3 linked regions of the Saccharomyces cerevisiae S288C genome follow. The gene in region 1 interacts genetically with each later gene. Each region holds a gene or a part of one and is shown in the gene's direction. Other genes may lie near its edges.

Region 1 (3,036 bases):
GACGGAAAGCAGAGTAAATATCCTATTAGTGTAGCCGGTCAATTGTGAGATGTCCTTTATCGAATGCATCAATCTCGAGCCTGCATCTGCAAGCGACAACATCAACCTTTTGTTGACTATAAATTCCTTCATATTTTTTTCCTCTGAATTGATGCCTGTCGCTAAGGTAGACATAACGATAGGGATTGAGGCAAAAACATAACCCAAACCGGACCATGTATATTTTAAAACATAGTCTTCCAACATATTGTAACCAAACTTGACTTTATCAACCAGCAGCATTTTTTCCATCAGCACATCATACAACTCTTTAACTTTCGTCCTTTCCACTGCTGTTCCTTGGTAAAATGCGATCTCTTCGCTATTATTTATCATGTTTAGATGATAATTGTAGTAATCGCCGTCTGAAGCAGATCTCTCGCCTGCCAATTTACCTAATGGTGGCGTGTATTTCCTCAAAATAAACCCAGTAATGAAATAATTAACAAATATACCTGCTACTCCCACAGTTCCCAAATTATCACGTAAATAAACCGAAAAGAATATTAAATCAATAACTGGCTTTGCAATGTTTGCAAAAACGGAGCATGTCGCATCGCAAAATTTTGCAACATCATTAGTAATGGAGTTGTCGATATTCTTGATTACCGAATTGGACGCCTTTGCATCAAAAATTAATTTGTAAAATGTTAGTCTTTTATCCAAATACATGTCATGGATGTAACGTGTCAAATTTACCCTAAAGTTTAAACTCAACTTCCTTTGAAGTAGCTTAATAGCACTATTAGTATAAGAAGCAGGGACAGCAATTAAAAACCAACACCCTAAGTCCCACAGAAAGCTTCTTCCTCTACCAGCAATTATATTTTTGACTATTTGTCCATCCAGCTTGGCTACAAACAAAGAGAGCCAAGTTCTCATCACCAGGAAAAAAATTTGAGCAGTTAAAAGAAGAAAGTTTTTGTCAAAAACTGTTGGAATTAAAATTTTAGACAAGACGTTCATTTGGTTTAAAAATTTTGAGTAGAATAACTGCGAATTCTTGGCTCTTTCCAGTTCTACATTTTTAAAAAGAAACTTATCGTGTTCATATACATCGTTATCCTTTGGTGGAATAAATATCCTTTTCCTTTTTTTTTTATCTGTAGCATTCATAAATTTGTTGTCATCGGGACTCTGGCGGTCGACTAATTCCACTTCAGGAATATACATTATTCTTGCACCACTGTCTAATTGCATTTGAGATCTTGTTCTTCTTATTAAAGGTCTCCTATTCCTTCTCTTCCATGGAAACTTGTAAAATTTATAACATTTTAGAATAATTTTGAAAGTACTATATGTTACACCAGAAAAAAGTGTGACACCAGATAGGAAAAGCGATACCAATAAAATCTGGGCCCTTCTTCTTAGCTTAGGATGAGCAGCGTTTGATCTAGATATCTGTAGAAGATGCCGTATCAATAACTTGAAATATACTTTAGGTGTGACATCGTTAACGTGTAGCCCAATACAGTGAGTATGTAGATTCAGGAGCAAACTCTTTAGTTTCGCTGGTGCTGCTAATGTTGTTGACATTTCTGTGTTATGCGTTCTAAGACTTCCAGATTGTCTGAAACGGGTTTCATTGTTAGTCTCACTTCTTAGAGAAGCATTCTTATATATCTTGACTCTAAAAGGGCTGAAAATAACCGCCGAAATTAAAAATTGGGGTAAAAAAGGGTAACGAAACTTATGCGGTTAAGCCCGATCAACATATAGCTGAATATTGCGTCAAGAATAATTTCTTAATCGGGATTATTTCCGAAGGAAGAAATTCTATTGAAAAAAAAATCTTAACATCAAAACTGCTTATATACATTCCACAGGTTCAAGCGGTCATAAGAGATCTGACTTTTGATAGAAAAGCTAGTTCTTTAAGAAGGCTGAATAGAAGCTAAGCACTATTTTCTTATCAGGAGTATTGCTTTCTAATGAACGTTTATTTCATAAGTGCTAGCTTTGAATGCCTCCAGTGATGAGTTTTGCATCGAGGAATATTGGACGTAAGATAGCAGGAGTGGGAGTTGACATTGTATACTTGCCAAGATTTGCACATATACTAGAGAAATATTCCCCATTCGACCCATGTGGCCGTTCTACCTTGAATAAAATAACACGGAAGTTCATGCATGAAAAGGAAAGATTTCATTTCAGTAATCTTCTCATCGAAGAAAACTGCTTAACTCCACGATTGCATGAATATATAGCGGGAGTTTGGGCTTTGAAGGAATGCTCATTGAAAGCGTTGTGTTGCTGTGTTTCAAAGCATGATCTACCTCCTGCCCAAGTACTGTACGCTGGAATGCTATATAAAACACAAACCGATACAGGTGTACCTCAGTTAGAGTTTGATAAGATGTTTGGAAAAAAGTATCCAAAGTATCAACAGCTCTCGAAAAACTACGATTCTCTCTTTTCCACTCATGAGTTTTTAGTTTCGCTATCCCATGATAAAGATTATTTAATTGCAGTAACAAACTTGGTAGAAAGAGAGTAAAAGTTTTCTTGCAGCCGTATAAATGTGGCCCTATTTTCAACGTCCAAGTTATTTTCTGCGATATTTGAATGACACTTTTAAATGCGTATATAACAGCTCTTAGAGCTCAGAGGAAGCTTTATCGCCGCCTTTTATAGGAACAAGAGTTATGTACAAAAAGCCATCAAAACTTCGCAATTTAGAATACAAATCATACAGGAGCATATGCCAAGGAATTTCAATTCCTTGACAAATAACCATGACATCATTACCATTGATTCCTTCCTTTACGTCCAGAATATCGCCTTCAATATCCTTCAACGTAGGATTGACTCCAGTCATACTGATAGTTGGTTGTGATATTCGAAAAGTTCCTGATGTCCTTGAGGTTTGAATGATGAGCGGTATATGTCGCGGTCTTGATGAACTTATCTTGTTAGATATTTCAATGAAATCTTGGAAATTTCTCGTAATAACACTGCCCCAAAATTTTCGAGCTTCGTTGACCGATAAAGACATAA
Region 2 (3,961 bases), 560 kb from region 1:
ATTTTTATGTGGTGTTTGGTCATCATCTGGTTTGTGTTTAGTTGGTGGGTCTATTGCCGATATGTTCCCAAGTGAAACAAGAGGTAAGGCTATTGCTTTCTTCGCTTTTGCTCCTTACGTTGGTCCCGTTGTTGGTCCACTAGTTAACGGTTTTATTTCCGTTTCTACCGGACGTATGGACCTGATTTTCTGGGTCAATATGGCCTTTGCAGGTGTTATGTGGATCATATCTTCTGCCATCCCAGAAACGTACGCTCCAGTTATCTTGAAGAGAAAGGCTGCTAGATTAAGAAAGGAAACTGGTAATCCCAAGATTATGACTGAGCAGGAAGCGCAAGGTGTCAGTATGGGTGAAATGATGAGGGCTTGTCTGTTGAGACCTTTGTACTTCTCTGTCACTGAACCTGTTCTAGTTGCTACTTGTTTCTACGTGTGTTTGATTTACTCTCTACTATATGCGTTCTTCTTTGCCTTCCCTGTCATTTTCGGTGAACTATATGGCTACAAAGACAACCTTGTGGGTTTGATGTTTATTCCTATTGTTATCGGTGCTCTTTGGGCGTTAGCCACAACTTTCTACTGTGAAAACAAGTATTTACAAATTGTCAAACAGCGTAAACCTACTCCTGAAGATCGTTTGCTAGGTGCTAAGATCGGTGCTCCATTTGCTGCAATTGCTTTATGGATCCTGGGTGCTACCGCTTATAAACATATTATTTGGGTTGGTCCAGCTTCAGCTGGTTTAGCTTTTGGTTTCGGTATGGTGTTGATTTATTATTCATTGAATAATTACATTATTGATTGCTACGTCCAATACGCATCCAGTGCTCTGGCTACAAAGGTTTTCTTAAGATCCGCCGGTGGTGCTGCCTTCCCCTTGTTTACCATTCAAATGTACCACAAATTGAATCTGCACTGGGGTTCTTGGTTGTTGGCTTTCATCTCCACTGCTATGATTGCTTTACCTTTTGCATTTTCTTACTGGGGCAAAGGTTTGAGACATAAGTTATCCAAGAAGGATTATTCCATAGATAGTATTGAATAAGAGTAACGATTTTACGAATCGAGCATAATAATGAAAAATTATAGTAGTAGTAATGATAAAAACATAAGCAAACATAAGCAAACATAAGCAAACATATCAAACATGCATTCAAACCATTATCCGACAGTAATGTACATATATTTTTACGTATTTTACATTCTTTCTCTATTGTTCTTTTATCTATTGCTATCCTAAACAAATATATTGATTGACCTTCAAACCGTGAGTAACTTTATTAATTTATATGTATAGAAAAAAAAAAAAATTGAATTAGAAATTTGAACTTCTCAAGTTCATTCTTCTTGTACCTATGCGATGACTTTATTTTCGGTTTTTACATTCCTCCTCATTTGACCGAGGAATACGAATTTGATTGACCCCCACTCACTAAACAAAGGGTCGGAATTCTTTTCCACTTTAAAACTTAGTAATAACAACAAAGTCAACAAAATAGTCCTATTGCAAAATTGCAGGTTCCTTAATTAATATTCTTAAATGATCATCAATAGGCGTATTTTGAAATCTTTTGAAGAGATAAGTCATTCATTAGAGGAATCACTACGAGAGGTTGCATTTGATTCACAGCAACAATTGATTCAAGACGTACGTGAGGAAAATGAAGAACTAAGTAGGTTACAAGATCAATTACAATTGATCAGGTCAATTGTTGAAAAAATCTGCATTTCAATCAAAACTGACAATATTGACTCTTATTGTTCGGTGCCTTTTGATTTGCTATACAATATTTGCAAGGACATTGCTGATCCCTCATCCTTTGAAGACGGAGATTTGCAATATCTTGTTAGCCAAGCCATATTTGAGTACATTATATTATTGTGCTACTATTCTGTGACCAACGAATGCGTCCAAGGTTTACCTGCCGTGTATGAAGCTGAACAGTACTACAAAACAGTAAGTGATTCAATCCTAAAGTCTTTTCTTTACTGTTTACAAAATTCAGTATCGACAATACGTCTTTTATCTCAAACTGTTTTGAAGGATGTAAATAAGAAAAAACTGTCGCATCAAAAATGGTCCCTAAAGGCCTTGTCAGTTGATTTACTAGAAAAAATACGCCCAAGAATAAACAAATTTATGGTGATTCGGAACTTCAGGTTTGTCGGGCTACCGAAGAAACCAATTGAAATAGCTTCATTGGTTTCTGATATACCTCGCGGTATAGTGCACGAAAGACTTGATATGGTCACTCAATCATCAAAGTATTATACTATTAAACTGGGGCAGTTGATCACTGAATTCGATCAACAACCAGAAGAAAATGGTATGTTCACCGAAGTACATTTACCGAACTACGAAAGACGTCTAAAATCTTTACAGGACTTCTTTGGATTAGCCATGTCTGATTCGAATTTACTAGATGTGATCCGATGCTCAGCGAAATTTCATAAAGATCATCCTTTAAGAAGGTTCACTAAACCAAGTATATTGACTAGATACTGGCCTTCAATTTTGTTGTGTCTTTTATATGGACCATCTTCTGTTATGTCGTTGTGGAATTCCCGGTATTTTATTCAAGATTTCATTAAGACCAATGTCGTTGACTTTGCGAAAGGGCTGATCTTGAACTGGTTATGGGCACCCCTGAAACAGGTTTGGTCTACTGTTAAGCATGACGAGGGAAGCGCCATTTCAGTGACATCACAGGAGACATTAAACTCTGACATGGATTCTCTTACCAGAATGATTGTTAGTTTTGTTGTGGATAATAGTGATTCGACGTCTAACAGCCCCATAGACCCTATTCTATTGAGTACTAAAGTCGAACATGGTGATTTGACCGAATTTATGGAAATATATGAAACACAACTACATCATCCGATAAAGAATATAGCTACGGGTGGATTAGTCAGGTCTTTATTGATTCAACTGCAAAAAACAAAAGTCGATGGATCTATGGCATTGAATGGCATTGATAAAATGCTGAAATCGCAACAGTTGGTGTTTGGAGTTGTAGCATTATCTCCGGCTTTAGTGATACTATATTCTTCTATAGTGGCGTTAAAAAGATTTGTCAAACTAGGCAATGTCTGGTCTAATGAAAAACGGTATAGGGAGCAAATAAGTATAAGTTTGAATAATGTGGAAAGAGTTTTGAATTATTCTAAACAAGGTGCGGACGCCGATGAGGAACACTTAAACCAGGGTCTACTAGTGATTGAGGTTTCTAACTTATACAAATTGGGAAGTTTTTTGATCCCGCGTTCAAGAAAGAAAGAATGGTTTAGGGACGTTGAGGAACTGGTGGATACCAATCTTGACTCCGGAGCTCATATAAATGTCGTCAACAGGATATACCACGTATATGGCAGGTTTTTAATCCATTAGCGTATAGCCTGCTGGGGAAGAAGAAAGGGAAGATATTGAATATATTCTTAATGTATTTTTTGTACAGACGTAAATATAAAGAAATCAACGCAAAATCGACGCCTTTTTACTTTTTATACTTTTTTACTAAAAAGACAGATTTTCTCGCTCATATCATAAGTGATGTACTATTATCCTCCATATACGATATATCTGTTTAAAAAAAAAGAAAAAAAAAGGTTACTTAAATTCATACTCATTAGAAAAAAATTCTAGGGATAACAACACCAAAGGTAGAACTTCGTTCAATTTATGAAAGGTTTGGCCATAATGGAGAACAAATGAATGAAGTATATAAAGAGAAAAACGACTTAAAAGATATTATTAACAATATCTGACCCAATACTAGCGCCTGCCCCAAAAATGGCGGCATTACCCAATTTGCTACCAAAGCTCTTCAAGTGGCTATGTGAGCTCTGATGTTGTTGTTGTTGTTGTTGTTGTTGGGGAGGAGGAGCTTGTTGCGGCTGTTGTTGAGGCTGCTGATAATAATTTGTGGAAGGTGGAGGAAATGGCTGCTGTTGATAAGAT
Region 3 (3,402 bases), on another chromosome or scaffold:
AATATGTCTGGTATCACCAACACGACCTTGTACTGATTAAATTTGGTAGGCTTAACGTTTAAAGTCTCTGAGTTAAGTGCATGCTCCAAAAGCTTGGTAACGTCTGAGATTAATTCTGCCAACGATTTATAATATGGTGACTTGACATTAAAAGAGCCACCTCTGAAAGGCTTTCTAATAACAAATTTTTCGTCCACGCACCTCAATGCATCTGAACCATAGTATAATTTTGAGTCATCAAATATCCATTCTATAGGAGATGGATCATTTTTCTCTGAAATAATCTCAGGTTTGGAATTTTCATTGAAAGATACTACCTGTTCGTGAGCATTACCTGGTACCTTTCTTTTATAATACCTCATACGTTCTCTAAAATTCTTTTCCATCTCCGACTTTATGTTGTTAAACTCTTCTGACTGTTCTCTTTGAAGGCAAACGTTTTCAACATGTTCACTATTTTCAAGATCCAGCCATTTTTTAGGTACCGCTACACAATTTGGAACTACGACAGGATGGTCATCTTTGGGAAATCCTATCTTTATAGAATTTGATCCAGGATGTATCACGATAGTTGCTGTTGGATCATTTAGATCTATCTCGTCATTAAGTGGTGCTGCACTCGCTTCTGAGTGGGGCAAACTCTTTAAATCTATAACATCTGGTGTGTTGGTACTAGATATTTGGCTAGTGTTGTTATTTCTCAAAAATTTTCTATCTCTAAGTGCAAATATTTGATCGTCTTTTTTCAGATAATCTGATGAGTAGTTTTTTTGGTTGATTAACATTAAAGGTTGGAACAGGCCAGTGGCAGGTAAAGTAGTTGTCTCCACTTTCTCAATGCCAATTTTTTTCAACGTCTTGGCAAATTCTTCAGCAGCTTTAATACGTCCTAGTCTCCTCTTCTCCAAAAGATGTAGCGGGACTTTCTTCCCGGGAGGTGCTTTTGCGGGATCTAGCTTCGGATATTTCTTATAACGTTTACTAGTCTGCACAGCAGGTGGTGCCCTCTTATCTCTAGAGCTCCCTAATTCATTTTCATTTTCGTTGGCATTATCATTATCATTTTCGTCCTCATTGTCAACATCATTGTCGTCTTCGTCTTCATCTTCGTCTTCCCCTTCTTCATCTTCATCTTCTTCGTCTGCAACGTCTCTTGGGTCAACAGAAAGACCTGTTACACTTCTGGGTGTCTCAGATCCAACTACGTTATCGACACTATCGTCTGACTCATTCTCCGCATTTTCTTGATCCGCCTGGCTGCTTAAAGGTACGCTATTTTCTTCTTCCAGTTCATCCTCATCGTCATCATCCTCTAACGGAATATCAATGGGTTCCTCATAAATAATACTGGATTCTGCTTCTTCTTGCGACATGTTAGGTGCGATTGTATCCCTGTATTTATGTACTATTGACTAGTAATTTACCTGAAAGTGTTTGCTACTTCGTGGGCGTTCATCATCTCCATTTATTCATATTGCCATTCTCAAATAAGTCATCTTGCACGGCCCAACCAGCGGCTGGATAACGGATCTACCCCAACCTCGGACCCAAAGTTGCTGCTATAAAAACAGAAACAAAAAAGGCGTTTCTCGAGACTGATATCCAGATGGTAATAGAGCCCTTAAGTGCTTTGCAATTGTCAATTAAGTATCCTTGTTCGAGAGTTGTTCACAGCACACTGCGTATATATAGGCTTACCACAGTTGGATTTAATCAAGCGATATAAAAGCTGGAAGGAGACAAGTTTCCCCTAATTGTTGTTCTGTTTGTTACTTACCACTCTATATACGTTCGATTTCATAGAAAATTTCTTTTGCAGACCATTTATTCTTCAGTTTGATAATGTTAAGATCTACCGTTTCAAAAGCTTCTCTCAAAATTTGTCGTCACTTTCACAGAGAATCTATTCCTTACGATAAGACGATCAAAAATTTGCTGCTTCCCAAGGACACCAAGGTGATCTTTCAGGGGTTCACAGGTAAACAAGGTACTTTTCATGCCAGCATCTCTCAAGAATATGGTACAAATGTTGTGGGTGGTACGAACCCAAAAAAGGCGGGTCAAACACATTTAGGCCAACCTGTCTTTGCCTCTGTGAAGGACGCGATTAAGGAGACTGGAGCCACTGCCAGTGCCATCTTTGTTCCTCCACCGATCGCAGCTGCTGCCATTAAAGAATCTATTGAAGCTGAAATTCCGTTAGCTGTATGTATCACTGAAGGTATTCCTCAACATGACATGTTATACATTGCAGAAATGTTGCAGACACAAGATAAAACAAGATTAGTTGGGCCCAACTGCCCTGGTATCATTAACCCAGCAACAAAGGTAAGAATTGGTATCCAGCCCCCAAAAATTTTTCAAGCTGGTAAAATCGGTATTATTTCCAGATCGGGAACTTTGACATACGAAGCTGTTCAGCAAACTACAAAAACTGACCTTGGTCAATCACTGGTTATTGGTATGGGTGGTGATGCTTTTCCCGGTACTGATTTTATTGACGCCTTGAAATTATTTCTAGAAGATGAAACTACAGAAGGTATTATTATGTTAGGTGAAATAGGTGGTAAGGCCGAAATCGAAGCTGCTCAATTTCTCAAAGAATACAACTTTAGCAGGAGTAAGCCGATGCCGGTGGCATCTTTCATCGCAGGAACTGTTGCTGGTCAAATGAAAGGTGTTAGAATGGGTCACTCCGGTGCAATTGTAGAAGGATCTGGAACTGATGCAGAATCCAAAAAACAAGCTTTGAGAGATGTTGGTGTTGCCGTCGTTGAATCTCCAGGTTACTTAGGTCAAGCTTTACTGGATCAATTTGCCAAATTTAAATGATTATATTAGGAAGAGAATGAACTGCTTTCAAAAGAGGAAGACTTCTATGTCTCGATTATTGCTTAGACAAGTATGGAGCTGACATCCGTTTTCTTTTCAGAGCTTTTACTCAACATTCTATGTTAATTTTTCCCTTTGTATATATTCATTTATCCTTATAAATTCTACTAAAAATCTTTTAATAGTGTTTGTATTTAATGTTCTTCTTAACAAGGGTATACATAAAGGTTGATTAAAGCTTAATAATTGAAATGGAAAAAAAAATAACAAAACGTCTGAATTTCCTAGTCTGTTTTGCAAAAACAGATGCGCAAGCCGGGAATCGAACCCGGGCCTCATGCTTGGGAAGCATAAATTCTAACCACTGAACCACTTGCGCGTTTCAATCAATTTGGGAAGACTCAGCACGTTATATACTATTAATGAAAAATTTCCTTCTTAGTAATGACACTGATAAATAGGTAAGTGTTGGAATTAAAATCAACTATCGTCTAACAACTAGTAGTCACACTACCAATATATTATCATACACGGTGTTAGACGATGACATAAGATATGAGAAACTGTCAT

Evidence for each region. Genes that interact genetically often act in the same process or in processes that back each other up.
Region 2: mutations in PPT2 (region 1) and NCA2 together harm fitness more than expected from each alone (negative genetic interaction), as found in Saccharomyces cerevisiae (2 studies listed by BioGRID).
Region 3: mutations in PPT2 (region 1) and LSC1 together harm fitness more than expected from each alone (negative genetic interaction), as found in Saccharomyces cerevisiae (2 studies listed by BioGRID).

Annotation. Positions count from the first base shown.
Region 1 is NC_001148.4:271,794-274,829, reverse strand, and holds PPT2 (holo-[acyl-carrier-protein] synthase), read left to right. Parts: upstream 1-2,014; coding exon 2,015-2,536; downstream 2,537-3,036. Other genes in the region: ATP-binding cassette long-chain fatty acid transporter PXA1, read right to left, coding at 1-1,575; ATG5 (Atg5p), read right to left, coding at 2,636-3,036. UniProt on the Saccharomyces cerevisiae protein: Transfers the 4'-phosphopantetheine moiety from coenzyme A to a Ser of mitochondrial acyl-carrier-protein.
Region 2 is NC_001148.4:834,993-838,953, reverse strand, and holds NCA2 (Nca2p), read left to right. Parts: upstream 1-1,540; coding exon 1,541-3,391; downstream 3,392-3,961. Other genes in the region: TPO3 (spermine transporter), read left to right, coding at 1-1,045; PIN3 (Pin3p), read right to left, coding at 3,742-3,961. UniProt on the Saccharomyces cerevisiae protein: Involved in the mitochondrial expression of subunits 6 and 8 of the F0-F1 ATP synthase.
Region 3 is NC_001147.6:591,215-594,616, forward strand, and holds LSC1 (succinate--CoA ligase (GDP-forming) subunit alpha), read left to right. Parts: upstream 1-1,842; coding exon 1,843-2,832; downstream 2,833-3,402. Other genes in the region: ARP8 (Arp8p), read right to left, coding at 1-1,373. UniProt on the Saccharomyces cerevisiae protein: Succinyl-CoA synthetase functions in the citric acid cycle (TCA), coupling the hydrolysis of succinyl-CoA to the synthesis of ATP and thus represents the only step of substrate-level phosphorylation in the TCA.